Linked DNA regions of Drosophila melanogaster. The protein of the gene in region 4 interacts with the protein of the main gene of each other region in a pairwise test. Each region holds a gene or a part of one and is shown on either strand. Other genes may lie near its edges. The genes, in order: CG42674, chn, nau and RecQ4.

Evidence for each region.
Region 1: the proteins of RecQ4 (region 4) and CG42674 interact in a two-hybrid assay, tested with the Drosophila melanogaster proteins (one large-scale study listed by BioGRID).
Region 2: the proteins of RecQ4 (region 4) and chn interact in a two-hybrid assay, tested with the Drosophila melanogaster proteins (one large-scale study listed by BioGRID).
Region 3: the proteins of RecQ4 (region 4) and nau interact in a two-hybrid assay, tested with the Drosophila melanogaster proteins (one large-scale study listed by BioGRID).

The regions. Positions count from the first base shown.
Region 1 is NT_037436.4:20,195,293-20,199,999, forward strand, and holds the start of CG42674 (uncharacterized protein), read right to left. Parts: upstream 3,026-4,707; 5' UTR 2,190-3,025; intron 1-2,189.
Region 2 is NT_033778.4:15,113,568-15,118,465, reverse strand, and holds the start of chn (charlatan), read right to left. Parts: upstream 3,006-4,898; 5' UTR 2,778-3,005; intron 1-2,777. UniProt on the Drosophila melanogaster protein: Probable transcription factor involved in the development of the adult pattern of macrochaetae. Required for accumulation of achaete (ac) and scute (sc) in proneural clusters.
Region 3 is NT_033777.3:23,712,321-23,720,352, forward strand, and holds nau (nautilus), read right to left. Parts: upstream 6,038-8,032; 5' UTR 5,637-6,037; coding exon 5,109-5,636; intron 4,304-5,108; coding exon 4,181-4,303; intron 4,118-4,180; coding exon 4,043-4,117; intron 994-4,042; exon of another isoform or gene 955-993; coding exon 876-954; exon of another isoform or gene 820-875; coding exon 626-819; 3' UTR 494-625; downstream 1-493. Other genes in the region: CG10300 (uncharacterized protein), read left to right, coding at 1-146, 216-476; CG10232 (uncharacterized protein), read right to left, coding at 7,156-7,555, 7,620-8,032. UniProt on the Drosophila melanogaster protein: May play an important role in the early development of muscle.
Region 4 is NT_037436.4:8,170,131-8,177,680, reverse strand, and holds RecQ4 (RecQ4 helicase), read left to right. Parts: upstream 1-1,702; 5' UTR 1,703-1,824; coding exon 1,825-1,926; intron 1,927-1,979; coding exon 1,980-5,149; intron 5,150-5,212; coding exon 5,213-5,953; intron 5,954-6,015; coding exon 6,016-6,191; intron 6,192-6,250; coding exon 6,251-6,567; intron 6,568-6,628; coding exon 6,629-6,862; 3' UTR 6,863-7,041; downstream 7,042-7,550. Other genes in the region: Nmt (N-myristoyl transferase), read left to right, coding at 42-1,255.

The DNA.
Region 1 (4,707 bases), about 12 Mb from region 4:
GAGCGGAGGAGCACTAACCAGATTTGATGCTATGATTCACTTGGTATTGATTCTCGTTCGACGCTAGTTCGAGTTATTTGTCTCTCCGATCGAGTATTGCGTTACCACATGCCAATCGCTGCGGTGCGAAGAGTCCACCTCGGGGTGGACCAAACCCCATTATGAGTGCAGACTCAACTTTTCAATTGACTGATCAAATTTACCTTGCAAACAATTGATATGATAGCGGAACGAGAGAGTTGCACACACTTGGTGGCACTTGGAAAAAGATGGTACTCGAAAGTGCAGATAATTGTCATACAACCATTATGAATAACCAATTATATCATTTTAGCAACAGAATCAACATAATTATTGCTTTGCCTAAGCAACTTTGCTGAACACGTGATGGTAAGGTAACATTATATGTTATTATTATTATTCGGTTATACATGAGCTGCCTGAAATTGAATAGTGAGCAACGCGTTAAGTTATCATGTAGCTGAAAACAAAATTTGTAAATATTATTTTGGGTGCCCTTCTGGCGCGATTCTTTTTGTTTACTATGGTAATTAATACCGCGATACCTAAGACACTCTGGGTATATGTTGCTCGAGATCACATCGTTTTCCTTAGCAAACTTTGCACTACCGTTTGCGTTGCTTCTCCTAGGCCAAAACCAGTTTGCGGCTTTCATTGACAACGCATTGTTGTCCGAGTGCACATACGCGTACAGGCAAGCTTCCCTAGCTTGAACTATCGAAAAATATGAAATACATTTTATTTGGTGGAATGATGAATGACAATGTTCTCTAGCTTTTGGAATTTCCTGATATCTTCCTGTAAAGCGATTCTGTGGACTCAAGATCTTCGACAAACCACTCAAGCTTCAGTTTGGTTCGAGTTATAAAAGCTAGACTGTATAGGTGATTGATGGCTGGGTGCATGGAGTTCCTGTGAGGTGTACCCCCGATGCCGCTTTCAGTTTGAGATGAGTGTTAACTGCAGGAACCCAAACCGGTTGTGAAACGAATCGAACCGAGTGGTTCGGCCCCAAAGCCAATTACGCCACCAAATGGATGAGTACAAAATATTTCTCGGTGCATTGTGCAGCACCATTTGATAACGAAAGCTGGATAGTGAAAACTGTCCCCAGCCCCCTGATTTTGGATCTTTGAATGTTACATAAATCCAAGCGAAGCTCGTAGCCTCCGCACGTACTCGTTAGATTAGCCGCCTTTGATAACGACAGATATGCCATCTCCAGCACGTGTACAGCTCTTTATCTGACAGACATAGAGTGTGTATTAGGTGTACTAGGTTAGTTCGAATGGTATCTCAACAACACAACTGTACATACGAATGATAAAATGAATGATTCGCAGAAAGAGCTCTTTTCACAAAAGCGGTCTGTACAGAATGCGTTAAATATATATGTATAACTTGTAATTACTAGGCCCAAAGATAAAACATTTTAATTCAAATGTCCTTTCTCGAAAGTTTAGTAACATGAACTTTGGAAAGTTGCCGTGCAATTCGACAGGTTTGAGCTTGCACGTCGTTTAAATCCATTAACTTCACAAATTCGTCAAAAAATGTATTTGGCTACTTTTGTGAAACATAGCACACACACTACCTATAACAAACAATTTTAAAGAAAATTGAAAATGGGAACACCTTTAGACTGAATCGCACCTTTGCTTATGAAAACATAAATACAAAGAGGAGTGTCATAATAATGTTATTTAAAAGGTTGTATAGAATCGGAACTAAACAGTAAGCAAAAGAATAACCACTTTTATAAAAACCAACATAAATTCTTTATTGTATGTTTCTGATGGTTCGTTTCCGGTCGATTCATAATTAGCAGTTAGCAAACAATTATAAGAAAAAAAAAAAGGGTGTTGATAGTGGACACCAACAAAATCAAGAATTCCCGAATTAAGAGTATCACTTTAGCAATACATTTAAAGCAAGTCTGCAGGAAGTTTATAGCTTACTGCAGGGTATGCAATGTCGGAACGTCCCCGTCCACTGTTTTGGATCGCAGCTGATACTGCGCGAGAAGGAGAGGGCGAATCGCGAAGAGGAAGAGTTGGCGAATCAAGTGGTCTTATCAGTTTTTAAGTTAAATTAGTTTCGTGACGAAGGTCGCTCTTCGCTATATTTACATATGTACGTATAAACTGCATTATTTTTAAGGAACTTGCCTGATTTCCTTGCTCTTTGCTGATTTGTTGGTTTTTTAATAGTGTTTTATTTTGAGTGACAATCTAGTGATGTTTTTTAAGCTGATAAGTCGATTTTTAGGGGTTTGTGTTTTTCATTAACATTTGCATGGCGACGCGACGCTTGCGCTCTGAATCCACACGAATAAATGTGTATATATGCGTATATATCAGTATATATACGTATGGCCTTGCTCGATTTCGATTTTTGGAGTTTGGAGCGATCTTTTCAATCACAAAGGAAATGCACTTCAAATTAGACTTATTCAGCGAGCGGTTTCTTTGTTGTTGTTGCTAACAAAACTGAAAATAATCAAGTTAAGTTATATGTATATTTTCAGGTACGCACGCACACACACAGAACGCGCTCTCTTTTGCTTGCGCAATACATAAAACACACACACTTACGCACCGCTTTGCACGTTTATTCTGCCTTTTATATTTATTTATTTCTATTAGCAACGCCAGCTTTTTGCACTTGAATATATATGTACGTATATGCATATATTTGTTTTTTTTTTGCCTCACAGCTGTTGGCTTTTCAAATGGCGCCTTTCAGGTGGCCGCTGATCCACAAAAATAAAAGACACGCGGAAAAGCGACGCGTGTCTCCGGCCAAACAACAATAACAACAACCCCTATTTCTTCGCGATTTTAATATGTGCGCAATTGTCCAAAAAACGGCGACGTCACTACCGCTCGCGAAAAGGAAAAGTCGCATGGAACGAATTAAGTTGGGCTAAAATCAAAATAAAACTATTCGCAGAACGGCGCGCAAAAAGAACACCGCTCGCGGGTGACTTGTTTTCAACTGAAAAAGCTGAAGCGATCGCCGGTACAAAAAGCTTAATCTCGTTGGCGCAAAGAGAGCGGGAAAGAGAGGAACTAAGTTAGTTCACCTAACCGCTCTCTTCAACTTCGTGCGTGCGTGTGTGTGTGTATGTTGCCGCGCACCATCAGCTGATACTCGTGCTGCAGGCAGAGTATCAAAAATAAGCTATTAACAGCTATTAAAGGGTATCAGTAGTGTGCTACCTTAATAATAATTAACAGATGTCTTTACGAACTTAGAAATAAATTAAGCAATCGTTTAAGACTCAAGACTAAATTAAGAGCCGGAAGAGAGTGACACATCAGAAACGAAGTTGGACTGAAATGGAAATTTAAATTTGCGCCGTTAGCTTGAAAGCAAGAAGTGTTGTTGTGGATTACAATCAATGCAATTGCATTGTAATCTTCCGAAATGCTTTAAAACCAAAGATTGAATGTCGTAAAATTTCTAGGCTAATAGTACTACCTTTAGCAAGTTCAAGGTTCTAAATGTTTATCTTCCGGCTCAAAGATAATTGAGGTCATCCCTCATAAATTCGCATACATATGTACATATGTATGTATATATGTATCTTCAGTTATGTGCAAAGTTCAAGGCTAAATAGGCAAGCGGAGGCCTTGTAACTAATTAACATTTATACCATAAATCAATCATTTCACCAAACAACAATTTCTTTATTAACCAGGGCATCGATCTCATCGATTGAGCTGATTAGCGCAGTTTGTTTGCATTTTAAATGTTAAATTAAGCACAAACACACACATGTATATCCCTAAAAAACTTTCCTGAATTTACTTTGCCCAGAACCCCAAAAAGATTTTTTCACTTTGCCATTTTGCGATTTATAATGAGTCACGCGACTCCAACCAACGAGTTTGTCTGAATTAATTACTGGACGGCACGTCGATTAGCTTCAAGCCAAAAAGCAGCCCTAATTGAGCCCGACCGCCTTAGAAGCTAAATTTAAATTAGACAAACATATCGCACAAACGTTTATGAGCACCGAACACATACATATGTACATATGAATGTACATACAGTGTACATATGTGTATTTGCAACATAATCAAGCTGAACAACATGGTTTTGGATAATTTATGAATGAACGAACGGATCAACGGGCGACGAGATCAGGGACAATCTTTCAAAGTTCGTATGCCGATTGGATGACATCATCTATGAGTTTTTAAATAAAGTTCAGCCCGAAAAACGATACGGCAATCTATTGCCTTGACCTACCTTATATTTTGAATTATTATATGATCTTATTTCAAAAGGGTTAGAAGGTTGAATCATAATTTTTAAATAGATTAATAGAAGTTATTGATGTTATAAGTTTCATAGCTTTGGATAAGTCCACGTTTGGCAAATACCAACAGTTATATAAAAGCTCCGAAAGTTGAATTTTTAATGAGAATTTATTATTTACCAATTTTTACTATGTGTTAACACTTTGTATCTTATAAATACAGTTTTTGTGCGGATTCGGATTGAAGTCTTATAAATTAGGCGGAGCAGCATAATTCGGTAATGGAAGTCTTAAAATATATTTCTTTACTGTTAAATTACACAAATCGAGCTTTTACCGAATCTTGCGAAATATATAGCTAACTTTTAGGCAAAAACCAAATAACGCTTGCTATCTTATCCACCGTCTTCTGTATCTGT
Region 2 (4,898 bases), on a different chromosome or scaffold from region 4:
CCGTAGGGTAACTGCAAACAGGTTAACCCTCGAAATGGAGCAGCCTGAGCACCCTACTTTGCCTTCATTGCCACTCAAGTGGAAGTGGCCGGCCAAGGAGATGATGATGATGGTGGTGATGGAAATGGAGATGATGATGATCGCGGATAAAGGAGCTGCCTGGTGACTGGAACCGGTTCGTGAGCAGCCGTCAGTGGACAACATGTGGGCCACCTCGAATCCCCCTGAGAGGTTCTTTCGGAGGCAGTGCTCACTGGGCCTGGGTGGACCCGTTAGTCCATCCTTGGCCCGGTGCAAGCTGTGATATAACCAACGATCCCCGTAATGAGCCTGACCAATTACAGCAGCACATGGCTTCCTACGGCCAGCAAAACCTGTTGCCCCTGAAGACGAAGCCCTTCTTCGGTTTTGCAGTTGGGAGAAAGTCTCCTCGCTGGAATAGGGCTTCCCATTTTGGGCGCCACTTGTGAAGAGGAAATCTGCCTGGCACTTCTCAAAGGGGTCGAAACTCTTGCACTTTGTCACGTCTCATTTAACTTGGGAACCCCGGGGGTGGTTGTGCGATCACTGGTTCCCACTGTATAGTTCGCTCCAACCCTTTATATACGTACACTATCTCACATCCAACATGCACAGAGAAAAAAGAGGGGACATTATTGGTACAAATTTGCATACTGTCTATGTAGGCATTTGTTATAATACGTTGCCTATATGTTGTTATATCCCGTTGATATAGGATTCAAACAATGAAAATGTAGTACTAGTTGTGACTTCCTATAGATCAAGTGAGTTCTAACATAATTTCAAAGAGCAAATCTTTAGATTTCCGTAAATGTTTTTCCTATGTGGAGACACCCCTTGACGAGTGGGCGTGGGACACGGCCACGCATGCGCAACTCCCTCCGAACTCCCAACTCGAATCCACTTTGTCTGAGTGGGTGGGTAGTGTGTGTGTGTGTGTGTGCGTTTTCGAGACTGGGTTTGTTTTGAGCATTGGGTTGGGTACAGTCTCCGCTTGGCTTGCCTTGCGGTCGGGTGAGTCACTGGGTCTTGGCCCCTGGGTGATTTTTTCAATCATCATCATCAGCGTGGGGAGTGTGAATGAAATGAAGTCAACAGGAAATAGTCAGTTTGCGGCTAAGAATAAAATCAAATGATCGCTACGCTTTTTTCATGTTATGTAGTGACTACCAAAGAATCAAGTTCAAAAAGTACATAAGGTTCTTTTGGAAATAAAAGAAAGTGATCGCTAATATAATGATTTCCAATTTTAGTCAAAGTTTTCAACAATGCTGTCATGTATTGTTGGGTTAACGAACTCACTTAGTTGTTATTGCTTAACGAACTTGCTTAACTTTGTCTTATAGTCTGCTTCCGTTTTCCACCCCTTTACTTTCCAATCTAAAGGAATATGCGTTGCATTCTAGGCATTTTCCAGTGCTTGGCTTCGTTTAACTCGAGCTTAAAATCAATTTTTGTCGACGAGTAAAAAGCAATTAAGCTGTCAGTCTATGTAAGCAGCTTCAAAAACACAACTAATTTCTATATATAATCCATGGAGACGCCATGAAACGAAATTCCGTTGCCGGTATCCCCCTACCCCGTACATAGTATTTATTTATATAGGCATAATCCCGGGCAAGTGCAATTCGACTGCATACAAATTGCATTTTCCATATAATATATAAATGTATAAAATATGTGCGTGGGAATATAATCTTATATATATAAATATATATATAAAGCACTCGAATGCAGTTATTTGCATTCTGCAGCAGACATTGCCACCCACAAATTTTCACCATATTGCCCATGGCAACAAAAAACCACACATTTTTAGTTTTCATTTGAAAACACCATGCCACAAACGGAATTCGTCAAAGGCAAAATAATCAAATACAAATTATATAACTCCTACATACATATGCATACATATGTAGTCGCATATGTTGCATAAAAACCGAAACCCCAAAAAATCATATGCAAAACCCCCCATCGAATCGAAATGAAAATGCATCTCTCTCTTTGGAGAGAGCGCAAGCCTGTGCCGTTATTTTCTATTTTCCCAGAGAGCGCGAGAGTGAACGAACGGAAGTTGAACTCTCGAAAGTGCAACACAATTCCTTTGCACTTTTTTGATAAGGGGTGTGGGTCGCTTTTTGGGGTGGTGGGTAGGTGGGTGGGGTGGTTGAATATAACAAAAATTGTTATAGACACAAAATTTATGATGTGCTCCGGCTGTGAAAAACAACCACCCACCCAGGAGCGAGAAACTAAGGGGGTTACGATAGGTGGGTGCGGGGGGATGGGGGCGGCAGTTAGTTTTCAAATGCCAAAACAGTTGAGCTATTGTCGCGAGAGCGGGATAGTAATACCCTTCAAAGCCATAACGAGAGCGAGAAAGAGGGTGGGTTGTGCATTGTTTGGGGGTTGCTATACCGTTGCATAGAGCGCCTGCTCCAATCCACACACCAATACCATTTGTTTTTATTCCACTGTGTGCGTGTGTGTGTTTGTGTGAAGTATTGATGAAGGAAAAATAGAAGTTGGCGCTTTTTAGTTGGGGGTTGCTGCCCCCAGTGGGATGTTTCTCTGGAAAAAGTGCATACCGAAAAAGATACGCACACACACACACAAACGCATTGCGGAAAAATCAATAAATCACTTGGCTTGGAAAATAGATATGGAAAGGCCCCCCCTCCCAGGAAAATCAATTAATAGATACTCCATGCTACTCTGATCCGATTTGTTTTAAAATATTTTATTCACCAACTTACCAACATGTTAGCGGAGGTTTTGCAGCCAGCCCCGGAGTATGCAACACTTTTTCGCCTCTTTTCGCGCGGCACACTGTTTAGTAGGTTTGTGTTTCTCCTTTGCAGCTGGAAATTAATTTACTTCACTGATTTGTTAAATGATTTCCTTGATGCACTTTTCGGTTTTCCGACTTAACGAGAACGGACCGCGTTTCACAACTAACCTCATCAACACTCACACACCGAATGAGATTTCGTGACTGAATGAATATGAATGGTCGCGGAGGAGCGGATCCTACGGCGATTCTCCGCCACCCACTCTTTTGGGGTGGCTGATGGGTTGGGCGGAAAATTTCCCGTCCCTCCCCCTATTGGGCCAAGTAAATATGTTGTAATATTTAGTTTTGTTTTTGCGTCTGCGATGCGTTGCTTAGTTTGCTGTTGTTGCCGCGCCGATTGCCTGTCGCGTAATAATAATACCTCTCCGACGTTGTGCAATTGTGGGAAAAGCTTCCTGTCTGCGCCGCCCTGCTTCTTCTTCTGACACCCCTCCGCTTTTCCGCTTTCCACAATTGCAAAAAGCGCGCGCATTCCGCAACGCTCACGCTCCCACGCATAACAAGTGGACTCTCCGGCAAAACTTTGTCACTAAGCTAAAAAAACGATTCTAATATATAAATAGACTTATTAATTGACTTAAATTAAGAAAGAGTATATTAAAATAAAAAAATAATTTATTTTTTATTTGTCAGTATCGGGGTATTATCGATAGTCGCGCCGAAAACATCCGAAAACATCGAATTAATTGTATTCAGCGCGGAAAAAAGGCCACAGCAAAAAATCTCTTAAGTTATTTATTTTTTTTAATTATCTGTAAGTATAATAATAGTTGAATTTATTATTTGACTAATTAAACAACAACATATGATTTTTAAAGACCAATTTTCTTATTTGTTAAGCTTTCATTTGTTAAGCTTAAAAGAATTTCCATTACATAGAATGCTATTGAAATTGAATTTCATTTGCAATCCTCCTTAAAAATTACATTTCCGGTTCCATTTTACAATAATTTTACATTACATCATACACGATTACTACCTTCTAATATTAGCTGTGTCACTAACCCATTGCGAACTATTTTGGAGCTGCTTTCCGAATTGCTACACTTGTAGAGTTTAAGTTACCACCTAGAATTCTACATACGGTTATTTGATTAATTTTATTTGATCAATAAACATATTCACTGGATTATAGCCATGTACAATGCTTAGTCATGCCAACTCTGTCAATTTGTAAAATGTTTTTAAAATGCTCACTCGTATTTATAATTTTTTGCCAAAAAGCTGCCAAACAAAAACTGTTTTAATCCTCGATATATAAAATATTATAATCTTGGTTTATTAGTACAATGTACTACTTATTTTAAGAAGGCCAGCAGCTTTGCATAATACATTAATAATAAAATACTAATTAAATAGTACTGACATGATACATTGAAAGAGAACATTGCAGACAAAAAATAGGATTTATTCATCTGTAGGATGACCCACTCCACTTTAAAGGCCAAGAAAAAACATAAAAGGGAATTTCATTAAAACAGATTAGCGTAAGGTGCGCAATCTTTAATTAATTTTCGCGGATTTTATGTTTTTGCCCTAGCCGCAAAACCATTCAGTCGAGTGGCAAAACGATTGCAGGTAAAAAATGGCTACCACTTAGCCATGACGACGTTCATTTTTAGATTTTCGTCATTTTTTCGTCCACTTTTTCCGTCACTTGAGGACAGCAGTTTTTTTTAGCGGCACCCAAGTTTTAATCAAATTGCACATGTGACCACATAGTCAGCCATATAACCCATAGCCCACACCACAGACCCCAAAACTCCTTTGCTAACCTAATTTTACAGTTGCCTCTTCAGCTGCACTCACACACGCAAACAAAAACACACACACACACACACCAAAATACAGGATTTTTCATCTCCATTTTTGAGAATTTTCTGCAACGTCAACTGTCTCGAAAAGTTTTTAATCAACGTCACCAACAACAAGAGCGTTTTTCTTTTTTCTTGCATTTTTCCTACTTAACTGTTTAATTTTTTGTTCGGTTTTTCGTGTTGCCTTTTTTCCACAGATGGCCTCG
Region 3 (8,032 bases), on a different chromosome or scaffold from region 4:
CCTTCCTGCTGAAGAAGGCATTTGCTCTGGTGGACCAATGCATACCACTGCGATTTGTTGAGATTCATATGATCAATATGCGCAAGGAGGGACAAACCATATTCAATTTTGTAACGAAGTTTTTGCCCTCCAAACTGCCTTTCAAGGTGAATCTATCATCAAAAAGCTTGAATTGCGTTAGGATTGGTAATTAATCTCTACAATATTCTACACAGTTCGTGGTCCACAAAAAGTCGGAGGATCTGTACCAGCACCTGCCCAGAGATGTGATGACCATCGAGTATGGTGGCACCAATGGCTATCAGGCAGAGGCAGTGGATCATTGGCGCCAGAAGCTGCTGGACAGCAAGGATTATCTGGCCAAGGATGCCCAGTATGGTACTAATGAGAAACTGCGCGTCGGATTGGCCAGTGCCTGGGCCAATGGAGAACTGGACGGGATGAGCGGTTCCTTCCGCAAATTGGAGCTAGATTAAGTAAGACGACTCTAGTTGCTGTTTTGAATTACCATTTAATTAAGTTCTAATGCTATACAAATAATTTAAGGCCTATTCGGGTCACTGGGTATCTCGTGTATCCTCTTAAAAATAGCTTTACAATTGCCTAAGGTGCTGATACTTAAGTGCTAAGTGCTGCACTTCCGTTTGAAGTTCACGTGCAGAGAAGTGGGTGCAGTTGCTCCGGATGAGGGCGGCGATTGGGTATCTGAAGCGGAGGGCGTGGCCTTATTTTGAATGGGACTCGTGGTGCTCTTATTGATGCTCTGAACAATCAGATTTAGACAGTCCAAACTGGAGCCATTGGCATTGCCATCAAAGTCTATACAAAAATATTTTAGATAAATACATCAAATACTTTTTTTTTTTTACTTTTACCTGTAAACTGACCATATTTCTCCATATGTTTGTTGTAAAAACTAAGTTTATCTTCTAGATAAGCGCCAGCATAGGAGCTCTGCAAGGAAAAACATAAATAAATACAAATGGAAAAATCATATATTTTTTTTTTAGTTGGCCTCAAGCGAAATTGGGGAAACAATAAATTACAGAAAAGTGTCGCCGTCGAAATGACAACGTCAAATTTGCTCCGGTCCTGTCAACTTGGCCAACGAGTGCCATACAGAATGCAGTCTAATGATGAGATTAAGCCAAAATTTATGCCAGTAAAGAGATTCCACAGGCCAATTAAAACGCATTGAACCACCGCACCACACCCATTGTCTGCCCCAACATTGTGGGGCATTGTGTGCAGTGCACTTTAGAGGCAATTAAATTAATTTTGCGCATACGCAGACGACAGACAAGGCATCCGGAGATTCGGTCGGGATTTCATTAGAAAAATTCGCTATAACGCCGATGCTAAGCAAATTATAATTGCCACTTCTGGGTGGGTTTCCTTGCTGCCCCCCCCCCCCCCCCAAATCCGCATCTGGTGCATCCAAAGTGCCGTCACTTCGTCTGCAAGGATCGACAAATACAGGGCATCCCGTATGGCTTATATGTATGTACGTCTGTTTATATTTAGCGGACAACAAAGTACGGAGTGATAAAACAACAGAATAGCATTCAAAGCCGAGTGAAGTGAACTAAACTGAACGAGAGCAGATGAACTCACACTGCACTTTTATAAAGCGATTTATCATTTTTTTCAAGCGTTTAGTGACAGCCTGCGCTCGATATGCCGCAGTCAGCAAGCGGATACACTGGGAAAAATTACACAAAAATAGCACAACTGGGTTAAAAGCAATAAAGTCTATTTATATGACAATATAATACCGAATATTGAAAAATTTCTTTGGAAATAAATTCTCAATTTAACAAGCATGTTCGAAATATATTTTTAGACATGCCCGACTTCTTTCTGTGTACTTGTTTGCAGGTCTTTATGGTATTTCGGTGTATTTTATTTTATTTTTTTTTTTTTGAGCATATATCATGCGTTGTATCTGAATGAAATGCCACTTATCACTTGGGCATTCCGATTCTTCGGTTGCGTAAAGATTTTAAGCCGCTTTTTGGCGCGTTCCCCTTAGATGTTCTCCTCCGATCTGTGAGCGTGTAACGGATATGCGGCATTATGCGATTTGTTAGCCATAAGTTGCATGAGTTTTTACCATGAAATATGCTTTTAATATACTAAACCCACTTTAAAAATATTGCCACTTCTCTGCGAGTTGTGCGGTCAGTCGTAAGATCTCATAATCCATTTCGGAAATATCACCGAAAAAATGCAAGAACTACTTGCCAGATATGTATTTACATTTTTAATAAGATGCAAATAATGTTGATGTTTATTTTCGGAATTATTTAATCAATCTTTCTCGGAAACTGAAAAAGTTACTTTTTGAAACGGGGACGTGTGATAAAGATTATCAGTGGTGGTTAGACCATAAAAATCACACCAATTATCTCTTCTCAATAATTTGCAATATCATTTATAAACTGCTTTCCATTCGTAGAAAATATCTAATAGTGTAGCTGTAAAGCTATTCAAAGATAACAAAAGTTTTCGGTAGCATATCTGTACCTGATAATAGTTTAAAAACTGAATGGTAGGGAATCCGATCAATCCTGACTCACTGTCCAAATGGATGGTTTGCACCCACGTTACCCACATCTTTCCGTGAGTCATTTGCACCGAAAAGCTCTATCTTAAGACTTCAATGATTGCGGCTATGTATTTCATTACGTAGAAATTTGACTGATATAGACAAGGTGGCACTTTTGTATATCGCAAGTACTACACTTTATTGGCGGCGATAAGGAAATTTATGGGCCAACTTAGCGTTCGCATTTCGTGTTGGAAACAGTTCAAAAGGAAATCTTTTACTTAAGTCGCCGAGGTTTATAAATACACGGGCTCCAAATGAATGGATATGGATGAGATGGATGGATTGCCAGGGTCTGAGATGCATTTGAATGTCTGCACGTTTGGCGCTATGCCAGTTTTTAATCAAACTATGGCCGCACATTAATATCTGCCAATGGGGGGCGCAGTCAACATACAAATACGCTAAGTTTTATGGTAAATTAACAAATTTGTACATTAAAATTGTGAGAAACTTAAACAAACTGCATGGAAATTACTCAGCGCAGGCCAACCCGAAAGTCAAATGAAAATGAAAAGAAAAGAGGGCGTTGAAGATGATGGCAAAAATGTTTGCATAATTGTTGACAATTTGTTGCCCTGTCATTCGGGAGTAGATATGCATGTACAACCCGCTCCCGTCCCCCCCCCCCCATTTTTCATTCATTTTCATTTCCCTTCAATGACCAACGACTTGGCCATATCTTGCAACACCTTTCGAAGAAGAACACCCCGAGATCTTGTCATGTTTTTCCTGTGCAATTTGTCAACTGCCACAACGGTTTTGGTTCCACGTCGCAGGGAAGCTATTATGAAACAGAAAAGCGATCGTCGCAATCCACCAAACATGGGGATGAAGATTCTGGTGCCGATTCCTGCTCCAACGAATTTGTTGTAATTAATTTACAACACGATTTCCATTCGGGCTTATAAAAAGAAAATTTATTTATTGCCTTTCACTAAATGCAGACAACGACCCTTTCCCCTGTAAATTCTCCTAAATTCTCCAGCTATTTTTCCTCTAAATTTTTTTTCCCCCGTTCCTTTGATAAAAGTTTGCTCCCCTCACATCTGGGCAAACTTTCTCGATCATAACTCATAATATTCCCGGTTTTCGAGTGAATGTGATTCAGAAATGTGGATGATGGGCTGCCGGCGTAGCTTATTAAGTAGCACGTCAGCGAGCGCATAAATTCCGGTCAGCAGATACAACAGATATCAGATACAGTTTGGGGACTGACTCTTTCGGGGATCCGTCCGTATACATATTCTATTTTCATGTTCGCCATTGCGACGGACCAGACCCTGAGATTTTGATGAATGTGCGCGTCGCCAAAGAAAAATGTACGAAAGCGCTGCTCATGCATGAGAATTTTACGAGAAAATAATTGCGGAACGATATACGCGCCGATATTGTGGGCTTAATATTAATTGGCGGTTAGTGGACAAAACTTACCAGATAATCGGACTGGCAGCTTTTGCCGCTCAAACTGGGCGCCAGGTTGTCGCCATCGCGTGTGGTACTGGATTCCTAAGATAATCAATTTAACCAATGGTATTCTCTATTCGCGGTGAGATGAGTTCACTCATTTACCTGTAGCAGATCCTCCAGGCTCTCGATATACTCGATGGCATTGCGCAATATCTCAACCTTCGGCAGGCGCTGGTTGGGATTGGATGAAGTGCGTCGCTTGAGGATCTCGAAGGCCTCGTTAACCTAGAATGTGAACGGAATAATAATCAATTAATGGCCATCGTTGAAATCATGGAAATCCATTAGGCGTGCCATAAAAACACAGAACACGCGGCGTGTTCCCCTTTTAAGTGGCTCTTTAATAAAACATATTTTAAATTAAATAGAGCATAAAATTTTCAACAATTAAGCCGTTCGCCCGTCGTCTGTCTCTTTATGACAGCCCCCCATCACCATACCCCTTCTAACCGGAGCTCCCACGATTTTCCGCCTTTCACTAATGTCTCTATGTGGAGCTATAAATACGTGTGGTTCATCCAAAACTTTTACGACCGTCGAACTCATAAATGCCGCTGTTTAACTCTTGGTCTTGGCAAATGTTTATGTTTTACGCATGTTGGGTGGTTTCCCTTTCTGCGCGTTATGTCAATGGATCCGATCCTCCCTGGTGGCGATGTGTTAATTTGTGGGGTGCTAGCCGAGCTAATGAAATTACTACAAAGTTGCAGTCCTTAAACGCAGGGGACTTGCGAACTGTGGCGTAATCTATTTTTAAGATCGACCGAGGATTAATAAGCCTGCTGATGGAAAAGGACTCTTGAACAGAGTTCTGAGTGGTATGCCTATATTCAAGTCCCCATAAGCAGTTTTAAGTTATTATTATAATAATGAATTGAATGAATCAAAAATCTACTTTTAAAGTGAACCATTCTTTTAATGAATGATTGAAAGATGAAAGTGCTGTATTTGTATCAGTAGTTATTGCACAATATGTTTTTAATATTTGATAAATCTGAAAATGTGTGTAATGTGAGCATGGGATGCCTACCTTTCGCAGTCTCCGGCGTTCCCTCATAGTGGCCGCTTTCCGACGGTCCACGGTGACGCTCTTCTTTTTGCACGCCTTGCAGGCCCAGGTGAGGCATGGTCTGGAGGATTGGGCGGAGGAGCAGACGAGGGGCGCCAGGACGTGCTCCTCGGAGCTGAGACTGCTGTTCTCGTCATCGTAGTCGGTGGTGTAGATGGGCGACGGTGTCATATTCATGCCCAATGGCTTGTCCAGCTCAACCGGATTATGATTCGCATGACTGTAGTTGCAAGACGAACCCGATCCGTTGGCTGAGATGGAAGCCGCTCCACCATTTCCCGCACTCGCATCACCGACGGCATTGAAGCGGCTAAAGAAATTCTGCAGTGTCTGGTGTGGATTCTGGCCGGGATGGGCTATCGGATTCTGTTGGCTATAGGCGCTAAATCCGTATCCAGGATGTGTCGGCTGACCATAGCCATTGTGGTACTCCTGCTTGATGGTTTGAGCCGCAGGCATTTCACTGCTGCCACTATTATACTTGGTCATTTTTCACTTCACTACGATTTTGTTATATTTTACAAAACAATTTTGGTAGTTCAACAAGTTGCTGAATTTAATTGCTGATACTAATTACGATGGCACAGTTAATTTAGTCAGTTGATTATTACCATTTTTAACGTGGTTTAAGCTCTTTTTCTAGGTATGCTAGGTCATTAACACAAATTTATGAGTTATGGTTACACACAAGTTTTAGGCTGTGGTTTCTATTTAATTTAATTTGTTATAGTTTCACTTTCGGGATTTTTAAAATAGAACCTTAATTAGTTGGTTACACTTTAATGATGCTTTGTAAAAACCTCCGACATTTTCAAAAATATTTTTCGACTTCGATTTGCGGACCGTACGCGAGTGTGTGTACCGCCTTCCGTCGCAATCGCAACACATTTGGTGACAATATCCAAGAATCCAAGATATCGTGGGCCCCCAGATGTGCTCGCGATCCTCTCGGAGTGCGGATGCTGCTGCGTTTTGAGTGGCTGAGTGGCTCTCGAGTGGTTCCTATTTTTAGAGGCGCCCCGCCATTAGACGACATTGGCGGTTCTCTAAGGCAGAAGGACGCTGCCGCAGGCCACGCCCCTCCCCTTTTTTTTTTAATTTTCGTGAGTTTTCAACGCGATTTTCCGCTCAATGTGAAGCGTGTTTGTGAAAGGCTTAGTTCAAATCAAATAAATTGAATTTTACCTGGCCAGCGATTAGTGTGGGTTGGTGGGGGAGGTGGTGGCATAAATTAGCTTTCGGGGAGCTCAACAATTCGTTAATGTGACACATTTAGTGGAAAATCCGGCCCCCCGTCCACAGATCCCATCAATGGCAGCCACTTTTCTATTGAGTTATAGTTGCAACGGCCGAGAAAAAAGCGAGAAATTGAGCAAAAAAATAAATAAAATAGGAGAGGCCGAAATAAAAATAGTCAAAGAATTGTGTTTATTTATCGCTGCTCAGGCACAATATATATCTTTGGAAATCACCTTTAAATCTTCCCCAGCGATATTGTAAATCTTTTGTCTTAGGACCGTGGTTTGCTCGAGCACTTTCCATCTTCATTTTTCCACTTTTCCCTTCTCGTCTTTTTCCATTTCGTATTTTCTCCTCACATTTTCCATCTTGCCGTACTTTGATGGATGCTTTGTTTTGATTCGGTCTGATGGTATTTTGGTGGCAAAGACTATTTGTTGTGCCACACGATAATCCCAATTGTAAATTTAATCATTATCGGCCTTTGTTTTCGGGCAGTGTACTGTCAACGCACAAATGTAACTCAGAAAAGAACGTTTAAAAAATCAAAATCATTAAGTAAATTCGATTTATTGTGTTATTAATTTAATCAAATAAATAAAATACATATTAAAACTCATTCTTATGTGCATATTTGATTTTACTGGCTACTTGATTGAATTTTCCATAATTCCATAATCCACAAAAAAAACACATTCACTCATACAAACAAAATGCATTCACATATTAACAAACACCATACACTAGTCGAGATTCCTTAGCAAGAAAGTTATGGCTTCAAATTTGCCTTTATCCATGAGAAAAATGCTCCAGTCTTTGTGTAAACACCTGGTTTTCTATCTCCGCAATTCTCACTTCCATATGAAACGATACCGGCCAGATATACGATATCCTGGTAATCATTATTAAGGGTTAACATCAAGGGACCTCCGGAATCACCCTCACAGGAGTCTTCTCCTCGAATGCCAGAAGCACAGATTTGTGATTCGTTGCGGAAGAACGATATCTTGTCTTGGCAATAATATCTGTTTTCATAAACGGTGTTATGCAACAACACCTGACTATATTCTCTGTTTTTCGTGTAGCCCCAACCGGCGATTTGCAATGGGTGATTATGCAAGGGGATGGGATCTTTCGGCACACAAATCGGTAGAATTTCGTGGGTATATCTAAGGAAATAAAAACTTTGGTTCATAATAGTCAGAAAATGATGCCTTATATTGCAATACTCACCGAACTGGCGTTTGAAGACGCACCAAGGCGATATCGCTTTCAAACCTTGAGGTGTTGAAATATTGTTCGTGGACATTGAAATACTCGATGCCGATCTCTACAAAGGGGGCAGCGCAGTTTCCTGTAAAGTCGCAATCCGGATTGGTGGTAATATCATGCTCGCCCAGCCGCACTCTCCTGAGCACCAAATCTGTGTTCACCATTTTATCCTTGACCACACAGTGTGCAGCGGTGAGGACGTAGCGTTTGTTAATCAGGGAGCCACTACAGTTGTTGGTCATGGTCGATAGTCTGCGATTCTCGTAGATAAGCATGGCCATCCAAGGATATTCATTTGGCCTCGCCGCTGTGCCATATGCCATTCGATAAAGAGGCGGAGCTTGTCCACAGGACGTTGGTAGAACGTTACCTGG
Region 4 (7,550 bases):
AAATGTTATAATACTATTCAACGCATCATCGTTTCTTTCAGGCAAACAGGCCTTGCTACAAGCCGTTTCCGATGCTATGGCCAGCACCCGTCAGATGGCCAAGAAGTTTGCATTTTGGTCCACACAGCCAGTCACCAAGCTGGACGAGCAGGTGACCACCAACGAATGCATTGAACCGAACAAGGAAATTAGTGAGATTAGAGCATTGCCATACACTCTGCCAGGCGGCTTCAAATGGGTGACACTAGACCTGAACGACGCCAATGATCTCAAGGAGCTGTACACGCTGCTCAATGAGAACTATGTGGAGGACGATGATGCCATGTTCCGTTTCGATTACCAACCCGAGTTTCTAAAGTGGTCGCTGCAGCCACCTGGCTGGAAACGCGATTGGCATGTTGGCGTTCGTGTGGAGAAGTCCGGCAAACTGGTTGGCTTCATCTCAGCCATTCCCAGCAAGCTGAAGTCGTACGACAAGGTGCTAAAGGTTGTGGACATCAACTTCCTATGCGTCCACAAGAAGTTGCGCAGCAAACGGGTGGCTCCAGTCCTGATTCGGGAGATAACGCGTCGCGTCAATCTGACGGGGATTTTCCAGGCGGCCTATACAGCTGGAGTTGTGTTGCCCACGCCAGTGGCCACCTGTCGCTATTGGCATCGATCGCTCAATCCCAAGAAGCTGGTAGACGTGCGTTTCTCTCATCTCGCACGTAACATGACCATGCAGCGGACAATGAAGCTGTACAAGCTACCCGATCAGCCCAAGACGAAGGGCTATCGCCGAATCACAGCGAAGGACATGGACAAGGCCCACAAGCTGCTGGAGGACTACCTAAAGCGCTTTCAGCTGAGCCCGGTGTTCAGCAAGGAAGAGTTTCGTCATTGGTTTACCCCCAAAGAAGGTATTATCGATTGCTTCGTGGTTGCCGACGAAAAGGGCAACATCACTGATCTGACTAGCTACTACTGCCTGCCATCGTCCGTGATGCACCATCCGGTGCATAAGACGGTTCGTGCCGCATATTCGTTCTATAATGTGTCTACAAAGACCCCGTGGCTGGACCTGATGAACGATGCACTGATCTCGGCCCGCAATGTCCAGATGGACGTGTACAATGCCCTCGACCTCATGGAGAACAAGAAGTACTTTGCACCGCTAAAATTCGGCGCCGGGGATGGAAACCTGCAGTACTACCTCTACAATTGGCGCTGTCCATCGATGCAGCCGGAGGAGATTGCTCTGATACTCATGTAGTCACCTTGTCACCTAAGCTCACATTCTCGCCCTGCCTTTCACAGCTCCCCTCCTCCGCTTTCTTCACCCTGCTGGAAGTGCCGTGCGGCTGCTTTGCTTTGCTCCTATTTACGTAGCTATTACCTGTAATCTTCAGTTATTCCAGCGAGGAAAGCCCTTTGCGAGCATACACCTAAATAGCATCATTGTGAAAATTGCATTTTGCAACGGCCAAGCTTCGATATTTTTTACTACAAGAACGAACACAAATTGTATAAAATGCGCAGCAATATCAATAAAAATGTAACGTTTACTTGGACCTTTATTGCCTATAATTGACAATAAATTATTTTGCTGCTCTTTTAAAGATGACAAGTTTTTATTTTTTTTAAGCAGATTATTGTATTTTTGCCCACTGTCCCAGCATGTGATAGTCTGGCCACTCTGTCACATGGCCATTGGTCTGGCAAGGTCGGTGAAAAAGCGCGCGCTAAGCAAAACAGCTGCACTTGTGTTGGTTTATTAGTTAACGAAATCTGATTCCAATGTTGGTTTCCTCATAATATTGACAATTAAAGACAGCCGCCGACATGGACGATTCGGTGTTCAAGCTAAAATACCAAAAGTACAAGTTGCGCGTCAAGGTGTGGGAGAAGGACTTCAAGAAGAAGAATGGCCGTGTTCCATCGAAGGTGAGATTGGGATGCGGATATGACAAGTATGCTAACTGGTTGACCTGTTGCAGTATGATATAAGGGACGCCAGTCAGGAGATTCGGGACTCATACAAAATGTACTACAAACTGAAGACATCCTTCCTGGAAGAGACGCTGAACGATGTTCTCAGCGAAGATGGATACGATATTCTGGAGATGTCGCAGGCCAGTGATTTCGGTGTGAGCATGCTGGACCAGGACGTCAGTCTTAATGAAGGTCCTCAGCTACCGTTGGATATATCTGCACTGGTGGGGCCGCAGAGCTCTGGTAATCTTGAGGAAATTCCACAATCGGTGGAGGGCTCATTCTCAAATCTCATCGACCTGCCCAATCGTCAAGTACTCACCAATCTGGTCAATCGCGATGAAAACCATGTCATTCGCAAATTCGAGGCGGTGGAGGAGCTGCCAATCAACCAAAATGCCTGGGGCTTGAATGTGAGTAAGAAGCCACCAGCTCCACCACAGCCTGTAGAGGCCTCCAAATCCGCTCCGGGGCACGGAAAGCAACCCAAAGCGGGCGCTAGTCTTAAGCCCAGCTTGAGTGCCAAGTTATTCCAATCCTCACGCGGTTTTGCTAAACGAAATCCCCGAAAGCCGCTTTCACGTTGTGTCAGTTCCTCTAGTTCCACCACATCACTTAGCTCAGTTCCTACTGATCATCACGAGGAACTGCTCGACTTTGAGACCATACTCATACGCAAAGCCCAGGAGTACAAGGAGAAGCAGCAGGCCATAGCTAACAATCCAATGCTGGCCAGTGAGCACAGCAAGGAAAGTATCAAAACACTGGTGGACGACGGCTGGCTCCGGCGAAATACAAAGGAAAACACTCTTGATGAAGAAGTGCCCTTTGCGGAAGCAAATAATAACAGTGGTACGTCCAAGAAAACAAACTTTGGCCTGGCCAATCTTGATTTAAGTAAACTAAAGCCCACTGTTAAGGAGGAAAAAGTGTTGCAGGCCAAGCCCGATCAAATGGCAATCATACAGGAGCTGCAAACAGATATGAATTCTAGCATGAACCAGAAACCAGATCATCTTAATCACACACCTCCTGCATCCAGTCAAAAATCAGTCGCTCCTAAAAATAAACCTCCACCTTCCGAGCAGGAAACCGATTCGGATTCCGACTCTGTTGTGGCTGAGAGTGAAGAAGAGCAGGAACCACAAGAATATCGGCAACTATCAAAACGTCGCAAAATTGTTTCAACAGCATCAGGAAAAGTGGAAGTAGCCGCCCCAGTTGAAATTCCCAACAAAGTCGAACCAGAGACAGAAACATTTGCTCAAGAGAATCCAGATTTCTCTGCAGATGAAGACCAGGATGCTACATATGTACCAGAGAATAAAAAGAAAGATAAGGCAAAGCGCAAGCAAGCCGCCGGAAAACAAAAGACCACTAAGCCCAAAGCGGAACCAAAACCGAAAACAGAAAAGAAAGCCAAAGTCAAGGCCGAAAAGAAACCCAAGGCGGAGAAAAAGCCGAGGAACTCTAAAAAAGCCATCGCTGTCGAGCCGGCTCCTGATCCAGAAGAGGATGAGCGCCAACCATTGAATCCAGAAGATTTGAAATACGTGTTGGCCTTGGAGGCGGGAGATATTACCTCCGTTCCGCGCATTAATGTGCAGGATCTAGAAGAAGCGGATGCTACCGCCCAGCGCTATATTAGAACCTTCGCCGCTGGACCCAACCCAGGATTGTCGGAAGGGTCCAACATTCGAGTGGATGAAAAGAGAGCCGCAGCACGAAAGAAGCTGGAGGAACGCATAGCAGCTGGTAAATTAAACGAGAACTTTGTGACCATAAATATTCAAAAGAAAAAATTCGTGCGTGGCAAAAAGTCCGTGAACTTCAGCAAGTACAAGAAGCAACAGTGGCGGCATAAGAAACGAGTGGCTGCCTTGAGTGGGCCGGACATGGATATGGGTGGCTGTGATGGCGGAGTGCTCACGTGCTTCCAGTGCGGCGGAGTCGGGCATTTCGCTCAGCAGTGCAAGGTGAAGGGAGACAGCTTGTTGCCACTTTCGGCACAGCTGGAAGAGGATCCCTCGCCGTTTCCCACGCTTGCCGAGGCTCAGGAGATGGCCAGTCAGGGAGCAGTGGTGGCACACAGTCGCAACATCTCACGGCTGCCCCAAGCGGCCAATGCAGCCATCCTGCAAGGCGATGAGTTGAACGAGTCAGAGGAAGATGACCAAGAAAGCAGCGGAGATGAGGAGGTACAGCAGCATCCAGATCCAAATTGGTCTAGCGATGAAATGGACGTTGATTTCGAGGCCCTAGATGCGGCCGTCGAAGCTTCCCTAAGCCAACCGGTTTCGCAAGAGAAAGCAGCTTCACCTATTAAGACATACGTCGGCCACAAGATTCCCGAGGAGTTCCTCAAGCAGGCTGGACTGGACACCACAGCCTCTAGTTCGAATCGCAGCCAGCACGGTGGGGTGAAGCCCCTATACGATCTCCTTCCGGATGGCAGTGTCCAGGACACGACGCCAGAGGTCCTAGAGGCACTCCACATGTTCGGGCACACCAACTTCAGGAAAGGTCAAGATCGCGCCATCATGCGCACTCTCTCTGGACTATCATCGCTAGTTACACTTAGCACGGGCAGCGGCAAATCTTTGTGCTACCAATTGCCCGCCTATTTGTATAGCCGGAAAGTGGGAGCTATTACCCTAGTCATCTCACCATTGGTGTCACTTATGGAGGATCAGGTGACCGGGGTGCCGCACTTTCTGCGAGCTCACTGCCTGCACACTAATCAGACCGCGCCGCAGCGTATGAAGATTCAGCAGATGATTGCCAATGGGGAGATTGACATTCTTCTTGTCTCTCCGGAGGCGGTTGTCGCCGGGGAACGAGCCACAGGATTTGGAGCCATTCTTCGCCAGCTGCCGCCCATTGCATTCGCTTGTATTGATGAGGCGCATTGCGTGTCTCAGTGGAGTCACAACTTTCGACCCAGCTACCTAATGATCTGCAAGGTGCTGAGAAAGAATCTCGGTGTACGCACAGTGCTGGGGCTAACAGCCACGGCAACTTTGCCAACGCGTGTTAGCATTATAAATCACCTTGGCATATCGGATGGAGAACGTGGTATTATAAGCGACATCCCACTGCCTGACAATCTAGTGCTGTCCGTCTCCAAGGATGAGAACCGGGATGCAGCTCTGCTCCAACTGCTCAATAGCGAACGGTAAGACTTGGCCCACCATCTTTGAAACTTGAAGGAGACTTAAATACATTTTGATCATTCTAGCTTCGAGCCCTGCCAGTCCATTATTATCTATTGTACGCGTCGTGACGAGTGTGAGCGTATCGCTGGGTTTATTAGAACGTGCGTGCAAGACCGTAGGGAGCCAACTCAGGATCAGACGAAAAAACGTAAACGTGTGAATTGGCAGGCTGAGCCCTATCACGCTGGAATGCCCGCTTCCAGGCGACGAACCGTTCAGAAGGCCTTCATGAGCAATGAGCTGCGCATTGTGGTGGCCACCATTGCCTTTGGTATGGGCATCAATAAGCCGGACATACGCGCGGTAATCCATTATAATATGCCAAGAAACTTTGAGAGCTATGTGCAGGAAATTGGTCGAGCAGGACGCGACGGGTTGCCTTCCCACTGTCACCTCTTCTTGGATGCGAAGGGTGGCGACCAGAGTGAGCTGCGTCGCCATGTGTATTCTAACTCCATTGATCGGCATGTTATCCGTAAGCTGCTGCAAAAGATCTTTGTGCCATGTAGCTGTGACAAGGAGGCTTCCAAGAGGACAGCTCTTCCGATTCCCCTTGAAGGTGATGGTCCTAGAGTGCATATGTGTCCGGGACACGAGATTGGCTTTTCCGTGGAGAAAACCGTTGAGATGCTGGACATCCCGGCGGAGAACATATCTACTTTGCTCTGCTACATGGAGCTTGATCCCCGATGGTGCATCAGTGTGCTCAGCTCAGCATATGTGATGGCTAAGGTAATCTCGTATGGTGGGCCAAAGTACTTGAAGTAAGTCCTTTAGACACGTGTATTGTGTATGTGTTTAATGTTATTGGTTTTTCCTTGCACAGGCATGCTGCAAAGGAATGTCCACCATTGGCCATGGCTATTGCTTTGCAGATTAGAGATAAGACATTCAAGGAGGACTCTAACATCATAGAATTCTCGGTCACAGATATCGCGGCAGGAATTGGCTGGAACAGTGGTGTGGTCAAATACCAACTGAAGGATCTGGAGTGGGTAAAAGGTGAGATGGTAATCCGTTCAAAAAAGGATCCGTTTAATTAGAAATTAATTTTTCGATAGTAAATGGATATCCCAAGCGATCGCCCATCACGGTGAGCTTCTATGATTTGGGATTCCGCATCAAGGTGCCGGGCGATTTTACCGAATCAGAGATCGACAACGCTCTGGACACTCTCTATACGCGATCCGTGAAACAGGAGCGTACGCAGCTCATCCAGCTGCAATATGTGGCCCATGGATTGGCTGCTGTGGCCTACAGCTCTTGTGGCCAGTGCTGCAATGCGGATTTTCCGCAGGATCGGGGCGAGCAGCTAAAGGCTATCGTGCGCAACTACTTTGCCAATGACTACCCACAGGATCTGGAGCTGGAAATAGAGGTAATTGCTTGGCAACACATTTCAATTTCTTACTTTTATTGCTTTCCTCTCTGTCCATTAGCCAAGTAACGTGCCGGATGAGAACATCATAGACGACGTTCATGCTCTAATAAACATGTACCCGGACAATACATTTACCGGACGTAATATTGCGCGCATCTTTCATGGCATCATGAGCCCGAACTATCCGGCTGTCATCTGGGGACGCTGTAAGTTCTGGCGTGCCCACGTCAAAGTGGATTTCAATCGCATCCTGCACCTGGCCAATATGGCTATTATCAAGAGGCGTACGTGACCGTAATGTCGGGATGAACCGCCGATACCATGGTTAACCAATTAATAGCTCCAAGAATTTTAAAAATATGTGATGCCATTCAATAACATTTTACTCGCACAAGTCTGATAATACAAAAATAAATTACAAATTCTATATAAACAGCTTTTGTACTTATTATGAGTGGAAAGAGAAATTCGTACGGACAATCTAAATTTTTAGCTTGGTTTTTAAACTCTCTAAATCTATGTGTTTCATTAGCTAATAAATTTGCACCATACAATCCCACGCCAATGGAACAATAACAATTTATGATAATTTCATTGCCGAAAACAACAGAGCACTAAAATAAAGTAAACAAATGCCAAGCTCGTTTAGAGGCAAATTGCAGCTACGGCTTCAAATGAAACAGCAGAAATCAATTCGATGGAGCCCGTAAAGAAACAAACATCCGGCTGAGTCATTCCCAATAACATCACGAAATGTATAACCCCGGTCGAAGGTGTCATCTTCAAATCGAAGCCTAGCCAAAGGTCGTCCTTCCTCAGTTCACACGAACGCGAAGCAAACAACCCAACAAATGGGGGGATCTAACAACAACTCAGGGCACAGACAACTGGAAACAGAGAAACATCATTGAAGTTGTCGGATCAGCGAAGCGTTTGATAAAGGTTTTTTATGACTTGGCCATTTTGTGAGGCCTTTGGCT